Xenopus tropicalis: one gene and its partner. Each later gene encodes a partner of the first gene's protein in a complex. Links are inferred from orthologs where the notes say so. Each region holds a gene or a part of one and is shown in the gene's direction. Other genes may lie near its edges.

Region 1 (5,134 bases):
TTGAATCCTGTGTTTACAGATGGGGACCACAAGGCTTATGTGGAGAGGTCGCAGTCGGATATCGAGAAAAATGAAGATAGAATTCAGAGCCTGCGACAAGAAAACAAGAAGCTGCACAAGAAACTGGCGGACATGCTCGCGGTATATACTTCTCCTCACTCCTGTACTGTCTCTTCTTTACTGAGATGTGCCCAGGCTGTGCAGCAAGTATAACGATTGGCCAGAATCCCCTTACCTGCTATTGTAATTGCCGGGAACAAATCTGTACCATATTGAAGAAATAGCATAAGAGAGGATTCTTGCCCTTTAACCTTCTACTATCCAGCCCTAAACCTAACAATTGCAGTGGAACATTGAGATTTCCTAGTAACTGAGATTTTTTTTGCCCTGCAATTTAGACCTAATACACTATAATATCTGAGTAACTTGTATCCTTCTTTATCGCTCAGGGTGATGAGAAAGTGATAAAGGAGGCATTTCAGAGACATGCTTCGGAAAAAGCCGCCATGAAAAACAAGAGTGGGCAGGTGGGTAATTGTAAGTGAGCAACGAGCAAAGAAATCTGGAGAGTCATCAGCACACGCTGAATTGAATGGCCTGTGTGATGTAAATTCTGCTTACTAAAGGTTTACTCCATGTCAGATGCAGATATTTCCTTATGCAGTGCTCCAGCTGTTATACTACAACTCCCGGCATCTTAAAAGCTTTAGACCTTAGAATATTATATCTTTTTTGTAACAGTGACCAACAGTAATATTTGGGGTGAGTGCTTGTTTGTGCCCTGGGTTCCCCTGGAACTATAGCAGGGTGACTGTTACCCCAATGTTTCTATATATCTGTAACCTTGTTATGGGCTAAGGGGGCCCAGCCTGAAGGCCAGTTAGGGGGGGATTTGGGGTGAGTGCTTATTTGTGCCCTGGGTACCCCTGGAACGATAGCAGGGTGACTGTTACCCCAATGTTTCTATATATCTGTAACCTTGTTATGAGCTAAGGGGGCCCAGCCTGAAGGCCAGTTAGGGGGGATTTGGGGTGAGTGTTTATTTGTGCCATGGGTACCCCTAATACGATACAGGGTAACTGTTACCCAATGTTTCTACTGATGCAGATATTTTTTGCCAGTGTTATGGATAAATACATGAATGCGATTTTATTATCTGGTGTTACATTAGTGATCTGACGCACTAAGGAATTTAACCACTTCAGTTATTTCAGGTAAAGCTACAATGGGCAAAACATCCTTTAGCCCCACAATGCAATGACTTGAAAATCACTTCCTATGGCAGTTTCTGGAGCAAGCTTTAATGAGCAGTCCCTACCTCACATTACCAGCAACAGATATAGACCCTGGGGTTGCTGTTCTTCTGAAAAGGAGGGATGTCCAGCAAGAAGGCTTTTTGACTATTGTGGTTCTACTATTCCATGTATCATTTCCTAATGTGTTATTTTATGTTTTGCCATTGCTCAGGCTGCCATTGAGCTCATGGATCAGAAGTTGTGTGATAAGATGAAGCGCCTGAATGCCCTGCACCACCAGGCAGAGAGGAAGAGGAAACATTTGGAAGAGCTGCAGACCGAGTACAAGCAGAGGGAACTAGAAATGCAGGGCAAGATGGTGGCAGAGGAGGGACCCTCACAGGATGAGCAGGTGAATAGATGCAGCAAAGCTTTCATTTAATTCTAGTTATTTATATAGTTTGTGCTATAGCTTACACATACAACTATGGCAGGTCCATGTGGGGGCTGTATGGATGCCATTGCGCTTTACAGCAGGAGGTAGTACTGATGCATAGCTTGAAACTTTTAACCCATGCAAAGGTGCTGGGATTCTGAAAAACAATGAGTGTGCCAACTTAAAACCATGGCTGATTGCAGCAACTTTTTTGCATTTTGCACAATGGCTGCTGTTAGTAAATGAGGCCTACAGACTCCAGGTTTCATCTGAAAATTATTTTGTTCACAGTTTACTTATTTCATCCACAGGATGAAGCTGCAGACAAAGAGGAAGTACCAGAACAGGTTAATTATTATATCTTTGTCTGAACCTCCTTTGCTTTGCAGAACCATTTGTGATTTTCGATTGCCGAATCAACTGGTGCTAGCTTTCTAACAGGCTTTGGGTTTCTCTTTACCTCTAGTCAGCTATATGGTTTCCCCTCAGTAAGTCTCTCCTGCCCTTTGTTCAGCAGGCCATGCGTCTCTTGGAAAACCGACTGGAAAAGGCGCAGCTGAAGAACCAGGAGGCAGAACACATTTTCAGCGTCTATCAAAAGCTAAGAGAGCACATGCAGGTAACAGGAGTCTCTAGAGCTTGGCCACTGCTTCATGCTGCCACTTCTTTCCACTTCTGGTCACTGGGTTTAGTCATTGTCACTCTATGGTTCTGCCTTTGTGTATGGAATAGGATAGGATTCCCCTCACACTGTATTTTATCTGTTTCCCCCTATGTTTTAGAGCAGGGGTCCACAACCTTTTTTACCTGTGAGCAACACAAGCAGGAAAAAAATTCCTAGGGGATGATCAATAAGGGCTGTGATTGGTTATTTGGTATCCCAGTGATGACTGGCAGCCTACAGGAGGCTTTGCTGGACAGTATATATGGTCTTTATGCCTCCAAACCTTGTCTTCAAGTCAGAAATTCAAAAATAGGCACCTGCTTTCATGCCACTGGGAGCAACATCAGAGGGGTTGGTGAGCAACATGTTGCCCTCGAGCCACTGGTTGGGGATCACTGTATTAGAGTGTAAGCTCCACAGAACAGGAGTCCCTTCTCTCAATGCTCTCTTTCTATCTCTGCAGGAGGAAAGCCTGACATTTCAGACTCAGCTGGATCTCATAGAGGCTGAGATCATAAAGCAGAGAAGTGAGCTGAAGGAGCTTCAGAAGATGAACAGAGATGCTGTGCAAGCACGGGATGAGGCGCGGGTACGAGGGACAGGGAGTCCTTTACTTCTAGAAATATCCCTATATAGTAGGGATGCACCAAATCCACTTTTTTCGGATTCGGCCGAACCCCGAATCCTTGGTAAAAGATTCAGCCGAATATTGAACTGAATCTGAATGCTAATTAGATCATGGAAGGGTTAAAGGTTGTGCGGCAAAAACTTCCATGTTTACGTGACAAAAAAATCAGATGCTTTTTAGAATTCGGGTTTGGTTTGGCCAGGAGCATGGATTCGGCGGAATCCTGCTGAAAAAGGCAAAATCTTGGCCAAATCCCAAAACGAATCCATGATTCGAAGCATCCCTACTATATAGTATAGTTACTATAGTTCGTGTGCATTGAGCGCTGGGTATTTATGGTATGCTCTTTTACCTTCTGGTTGACAGACTGACCTTCAGCAGCAGGAAGAAGAAGTTACAAGAGAAAGAAGGGAAAGAGAGCGCACCCTTCAGAATTACAAAAAGCAAGCGGAAGAGAGACGTATTCATGCTGAGCGCGTGGAAAGAAGGGTAAGGTTTTGATTCCCTACCCCACCCAAAGAGCTTTACCCCATATCTCTCCCTCATAATGACTCTGCCAATCTCTGTGCCCAAACCCAGAGACACAAAGAATCTCCCAGGTTAGTGAATACTGTTCATCTGGGTGCAAGTTGCACTAAGCATGGAAGGCATGTGGGAGTGTGGGCACTTGTGTGCTACTCTGAGGGCAAGCGCCAGTTTCTAAATGTGATTGCTATTAATGCAGTATCTGTCTGACTCCTGAAACAATGTAGCAGAAGCCAACTGATTAATGTGAAGAAGCATACAAAGCATTGTGGGACTTTTTGGCTGGAGGACAGCTGACTATTGCTACATTGGTTCAAGTTGAGGCATTAAGTAAAGGGTTCTCTTGTGCCTTTCGCCCCCACCCCCAGCAATGCTGCTTGGTGCATGCTGAATAATGTCAAGGTAGGACATGCCAGGAACACCCAACTCTTTTCCATGTGAAATTTATCAGGGAGAGAGAAAAGCACAACTCTTGCACTATTCTAAGCACCACTTGGAGGTGACTGTGCATAGTGGGCAGAAATCATAGTGCCATGCACGTTTTGGTTTTGCTCCTTTCCACTTGTTGATAAATGAGACCATAGGCATGGCCCTGTCATCATGTTACTCTCTGTTATCCATTTTGGATCCTGGCTGTTCTGATGAAATGTGAAATTGTGATGCTTTTATAGGCTCAGCGAGTGGCCTTGCCTGGAGACGATGCTACAGTGGACACTCAACAGACGCCAAGTGGAGAAGATGAAGAAAAGGTGATACGCACCTTCCAGGAAGCCTTTCAGAGGATAAAGGAAGCCACTGGCGTGACAGATACTCAGGTGAGGGGGCTGTCAGTAATACGTGGTATATACCACAGTGCTCTCACGTTTCTCATTGAGATCAAAGCAATCCTGGGACATTAGCCATGTGACATACAATAGAGTGCCCTGGAGGCTGAATGCCTGGTTGGGACACGTGTCTTGCAGCACTACCGAGGTTTCACCCCATGTTCCCCCTATAACCCTGCAGGAGATTGTGAGGCGCTTCATAGCCCAGGGAGAAACTAGCAAACACTTGGAGGAACTAAAGATTGAGAATGAAAGGACACTGGTGAGGCTGAAAGAGCAGAAGGAGAAACTGGAGGAGGAATTCCGTAACCAGAAGTACTCTGGGGAAGCCAAATTGTCCAGGTATATATGTTTCCTTGTGACCACTGAGAGTGGTCTTATGTGGTCATGGAAATCCTCAGTCACATCATTGCATCTGCAGAAAGGTTTGCTAGCAGAGCTGTAGAACCATCTCACTTAATGCTTGTTTGGGCCATCATCCTGAACAGAGGGAACTATGTTCTATATTTAGCCATATGTGCTGGCCATACATGTAAAGAGCACAAGGTCACCAATGGAGCGGACCTGTTCCCAATATGCCCACCCCTGTGATTGCCCAGATTGCACCATTGAAGGCGCCCAAGCAAAATTTTCAGGACTGAATTGGCAGGTGGAGGTAGAATTTCTATTGTTTTTACCTCCATATCTGACAATTCAGCCCTGAACGTCAGTGGAGGGTAGGAACGATCGTTATTGCTACGTGTATGGCTGCTGAATTGGTCTGGAGTGGCTGACTGGGGTCTGTTGTTAATATAAGGCCTATGTGTATGGCCACCTTAAGGG
Region 2 (5,234 bases), on another chromosome or scaffold:
CTAATGAGGATAGGCAGAATAGGTAGAATGCAAGGGCTATTTTCTAGCCTATCAACTGAAGGCCTCATATGATTATCATTTGGTGTAGTTCCCAAAAAGAAAGAGGATACACAGAGTGGAGCAGGCATCAGCCCAAGACACGTGAAAGCAGGCATTTTATTCAGGCCAATCTCTGCTCCATGTAGCTTCACTCAGGTAAATGCTGTGTCTGTCAGTGCAGCTTAACAGAGCTGCGGATAATGTGATAGGCATGGGAGGAAGCGGAGCAGAGGTGGGAGCAAGCAGAGTGGCAGTGGGTGTAAGTGACAGGGTTCTCCTGGAAGAAACATCACAGGAGGTGTGAATGGGCAGGACAGGTCTGCAGATCTGTGCTAATCCTGTGCAACAGAGGTAATAGGGGTACCACAGTAAGAAGCCTAGGGCAAGTAGATTTGTGGCTGGGAAGGGGGGGAGAGGAGTGTAGCACCATCTTGGATGAAAGCATAAACGCTGCTACAAATGCACTCTGAATTGATTTGTCTATGGCACTTGCAAAAACTGAAAAGGCTGGTTGCGAAAGTAAACTGCTTTTTGTGATGGCAGGAGATGGTGGAGGAAAATGGTGTGGCTAATTGTGAGTTGGGGTGAATGGGAAATCTGAACTATTTGTGGCAGAGAAATTCTAAGGCTAGTGCCACACATGGTGGATTCTCAGCCTATGATTATACACACTGAAAACCACTGCATGTGCCTGCACCTGGGTTGATGCAATGGATTTGGGTGCAAGAAAGCAAGAATGCTGATTCCAACGCAAGGACAGAAAAACACAGGCTGAGCATAGGTGGATTTTCATTAAGGCTATGGGAGGCAAAGCCTCCTCAAACCTGCTTGGCACATTAAAAAAACAAAAAAAAAACCTCACTCCGCTTCTGCACTGCCCTGGAAATCTTCTGTTCCTGCAAGCCGGTTCTGCTGTGCTCTGATTGGATCTTCCTTCTTGTGGATTCTCCAATCAAAGCACAGCTTTCTTGACAGACAGTAAAATTGACCAATCAAAGTACAGCTGCAGACAGGGCTCGGAAGATATTATAAACTGAAGGCAGTGCAGAAATGAAGACTGAAAAGAAGAATCTGCAGACTGTAAACTTTACCTGAGAACCAACTCTCAACTTTTGCTGCAGATTTCATCCCACTCCCACTCCCTATACAGTTCTAAAGGCTGAATCACTAGCTGAAATTAAATTGTTTTTTGCCTGACCTGACATTTATAATATCCCTATCACCTATCCTAACAGATGGATGGTAAGTTAACTCTTTCCCCCTAAAAAAGCTAATTGAGCTTTTGTATACTTGTTGTTTTTTGCACTTACTATTTTTTTTTTTACTTTTGTCATTGTTTTGTTCATTTCTAGTTAGTTAGTGGAGCCAATGCCATGTATCAGTGCCAGTGTTATAGTGTGAGAGCCTGAATATCTGCCATCAGTACCCACTGCTTCTCACTGCATATAATGTGCTGGTTATGCAAATACACACTGCATTTCACTGTATAAAATGTGCCGGGGATGTCAGTACCCACTGCCTCTCTATAAAACTAACAAACTTAAAGGGGTGGTTGACTTTTAAGTTAACTTTTAGTATGTTATAGAATGGCCTATTCCTAGCAACTTTGCAATAGGTCTTCCTAATTAATTTTTTTTTATAGGTCTTGAATAATTTGCCTTTCTCTTCTGCCTCTTTGCAGCTATCAAATGGGGATCACTGACCCCGGCAGCCAAAAATAATTGCTCTTCAAGGCTACAATTTTAATTATTATTGTAATTTTTTGTTACTTATTTTTCCATCCAGGCCCCTTAACTATTCATATTCCCTATTCTCTTGTATAAACCACTACCTGGTTCCTAGGGTAAATAAGACCCTAGCAACTAGATAGCTGCTGAATTACCAAATGGAGAGCTGCTGAACAAAAATATATTATATATTAAAAGTCAAACGTGAACTACCCCTTTAAAGGAACAGTAACACATAAATATTTAAGTACCTTATAAGTCACAAAACATCTCTAATATTAGGTCTAGCCTTTCCCCCCTTGCCTTTTTTAAACTGTCTGAAGAAATAGAAACATAAATTTAAACTGCATACGCTGATAAAAATCTTGCCGAAGGTCCTCCAACACGATGAATACTTTTACATCCTAAGCATTTTAGGGTAAAAAAAAAGCCCTCCCACCCGCACTTTTGCACTGTATCCCTGTAAGTCAGTGGGAACTGCAAGAGGTAGTTGGGAGGTTCATTCTCACACCAGCAGTGAATCCACAAATTCTCACATTAACTTTAGGTCAGTCTGTGTATGGGCCATCTTTAGCCTCCCCAAATGAGTATGAAAAAAACGTTGTCTGGGATTTCAGTGCCTCTTTAACATTCCACAGCATCATTATATTTCTCCTCATTTTTTATGCTTGTTTCTTAAGAGAAATGCTGCTTTTGCAGAGAAAAATCACAATTTAGCTCTTCCCCCACTCTGTGTTCTGCTACTTCAATTACCTTTGTAAAAGCTAGTCCCCAAGTATACCCACCCCTGCAGCAGCCCATTGTTTGCACACAATTCTCCCCCCCCCCTTCCCTTGTAAGGCTGTTTGTAAGCACCGCTCGCAGCTTATGAAATGTAAGTGAAACACTTCTGAGCATAATGCATGTCATGTAGAGCTGATCCGAGCCACGGAGATCAAACCGGAAGTGCCGCTGATTGGTTGTTGTTGTTGCCATGGTGATTGTGTATACAAGCTCCGAACAGTTTCACTCAGAGTTGAGAGGAAAAAGTAACCAGCAATTGCAATGTCCCAACAAGTGTCTTCCATGAATAGAAAAAACCTACAGAAGCAGGCGGACGCCCTGAGCCGACTCATCAAGCACTGTAAGTGTGAGACCAAACCCACAGATGCCCACTCTTTAGCCTGTTTCATGAGTGTAGAATAAAACATTTTTTTCAACATATATCGACAATCATGGGCCCCATATCTCCTAGGCCCTAACCCCCTTACTAGTCTTACAGCCTGCGTCTTCTATTATATTATTATTATACCTGGTGTTAAGATACTTTCAGACAGTAAATACATGGTAGATGTCCAACCTGTAGTAATCCAGCAATAGTAGTTGAACTACAGCTCCCAGAACCTTACTAAAAGTTGTTGGCTGGGGTGTTGAGAGTTGTGATTCCTCCACAGTTACAGGTTAGACATCCCTGATTTATGTATATTGTGCCCTGGGGGAATCCTCCATACACCCAGCACTGTACATTACATCAGACTGGAAAGGACCTGGGTTAATTATCGCAAGCAACTGTGGTTCAGAAACAGTCGCAGGAAAATAAGATGGGCATCCTTGGCATAAATATTTATTCATCATCACTAATATAGTGCAATGATACTGGGACTTATAGTTTGTCCTGGTTTTCTTTTTTTAACTTTTTCATGTACAAAAAATGCACAACAGTAGGAAACACAAGATAGAAGTTGTTTTAGATCGATTTATACATTTTCAAACTAGGCAAAGCAATACATGTGCACTATGGGAGGTATTGTGGATCAGGGTTGTGTATAGGAGGTGTATCGGTCGGCTGTCTTTCACCCTGGGGAGGTGGTCGAGCCTACTCTGGATCAGCTGCTGTTTCTGGCTTGTCCTGGTTTTCTTAGCAAAACCTTTTTCTAGAGGGTCAGAAATGGTTGCCTTTAAGTGGTGCCCTTGTTCATTTGCATGCATGATGTGATACCACAGTGCACTTGTTACATGCACAGAAAATCTTGCATGCACTGGAATGTGCAGTGTGTTTTCAGTGCCATCTGAGTTTCACACCTCATGTATTAAATGCCAGATGATGTTGAACATTTTGTGCTCTTTTTTTAGTTTACTTAGGAAAACTATATGGTCATTTACTAAATGGAAGGCAGTTTTGCAAAGTGCAAAAAAAACACTGCAGTCTTTCATTAGTTTTGCACTTTGCACAACACCTTTTTTGCTACTTGAATGGCTGCAGGGCTCTGCAAATGTCCTTGCAGCAAGTTGCCTGTAAAACAATATTCATTAAATGTACAGGATCCGTTATCCGTAAACCCATTATGCTGAAAGTTCCGAGTTAGGGAAAGGCCGTCTCCCATAGACTCCGTTATAAGCAAATAATTCTAATTTTTTAAAATGATTTCCTTTTTTCCTGTAATAATAAAACACTACCTTTTACTCGATCCCAACTATGATATAAGCAATCCTTATTGGAGGCAAAATGATTCTATTGGGTTTCTTCAATATTTCAATGATATTTTTAGCAGACTTAAGGTATGGAGATACAAATTATGGAAAGATCCCTTATCCAGAAAACCTCAGGTCCCAAGCATTCTGGATAATAGGTCCCATACCTGTACTTGCATCCAGGTGTTAGCTCCTGGGTTCCTTCAGGGCCCTGAGTCAACAGATGCAGCAAACTTGGGGTTAAAGAAATGCTTAGACAGCATTCACAGGCTGAATATCAGAACTGATGCCAGGCAGTCTGCAAATATATATTGGCGTAACTGTGGCAAAGTACACACGCATTTGCATCCATTTTGATAATTGGGGCGCATTTGTGCCGGATACAGTGCAAATGATGTGAAGTTGCATCTAATTCAAAGCCCACATTAGGCTTGCAGGATTCTTGGAAAAAGCAGTACATTGTGGGAAAACATGGCTATTGCATTCAAAGTATGGTTGAATTTTGACATGATCTGCTCAACTAAAATTTTGTTTCAGTATTACACTATATATCTTTAATTTGCAGTTAGTAAGAATGAAGTGGAGAGCCTCATCCGCCTTTATCATACTTTGGTGGGACGACCCATTGATCCTAATACAAGGCGTGGCATTGACCGAAACACTTTCAGAAATATCCTGCACAATACATTTGGCATGACAGATGATATGATCATGGACAGAGGTGGGAGACTTTTATCTGAGTGAATTTCAAAGAATCAGTTGTTGAATCTTTTGACATGGCCTTAACTTCTTTATCTTCTAGTGTTTCGAGGATTTGACAAAGATAATGACAGCTACATCAGTGTTACAGAATGGGTGGAAGGCCTGTCCGTATTTTTACGTGGGACTCTAGAAGAAAGGATAAAATGTAAGAAGTTTTTATATGATACATGGATACACAAGCTCATATATTGATACAGTATTTGCAGTATTGATCAAAATGTATTATCAGCATTTTACCTTTGTAACCAGCAGCAC

The links.
Region 2: ccdc151 (region 1) and efcab1 share a complex: the UniProt entries of both Homo sapiens proteins name them as parts of the outer dynein arm-docking complex. The link is inferred for Xenopus tropicalis from reciprocal best matches to the Homo sapiens genes ODAD3 and CLXN.

The regions. Positions count from the first base shown.
Region 1 is NC_030679.2:139,194,715-139,199,848, reverse strand, and holds part of ccdc151 (coiled-coil domain-containing protein 151), read left to right. Parts: intron 1-19; coding exon 20-141; intron 142-449; coding exon 450-527; intron 528-1,467; coding exon 1,468-1,647; intron 1,648-1,982; coding exon 1,983-2,018; intron 2,019-2,185; coding exon 2,186-2,290; intron 2,291-2,798; coding exon 2,799-2,924; intron 2,925-3,329; coding exon 3,330-3,452; intron 3,453-4,159; coding exon 4,160-4,303; intron 4,304-4,493; coding exon 4,494-4,654; intron 4,655-5,134. UniProt on the Homo sapiens protein: Component of the outer dynein arm-docking complex (ODA-DC) that mediates outer dynein arms (ODA) binding onto the doublet microtubule. Involved in mediating assembly of both ODAs and their axonemal docking complex onto ciliary microtubules.
Region 2 is NC_030682.2:51,306,279-51,311,512, forward strand, and holds the start of efcab1 (EF-hand calcium-binding domain-containing protein 1), read left to right. Parts: upstream 1-2,607; 5' UTR 2,608-2,810; coding exon of another isoform or gene 2,811-2,831; coding exon 2,832-2,889; intron 2,890-4,782; coding exon 4,783-4,938; intron 4,939-5,019; coding exon 5,020-5,124; intron 5,125-5,234. UniProt on the Homo sapiens protein: Component of the outer dynein arm-docking complex (ODA-DC) that mediates outer dynein arms (ODA) binding onto the doublet microtubule. Seems to regulate the assembly of both ODAs and their axonemal docking complex onto ciliary microtubules.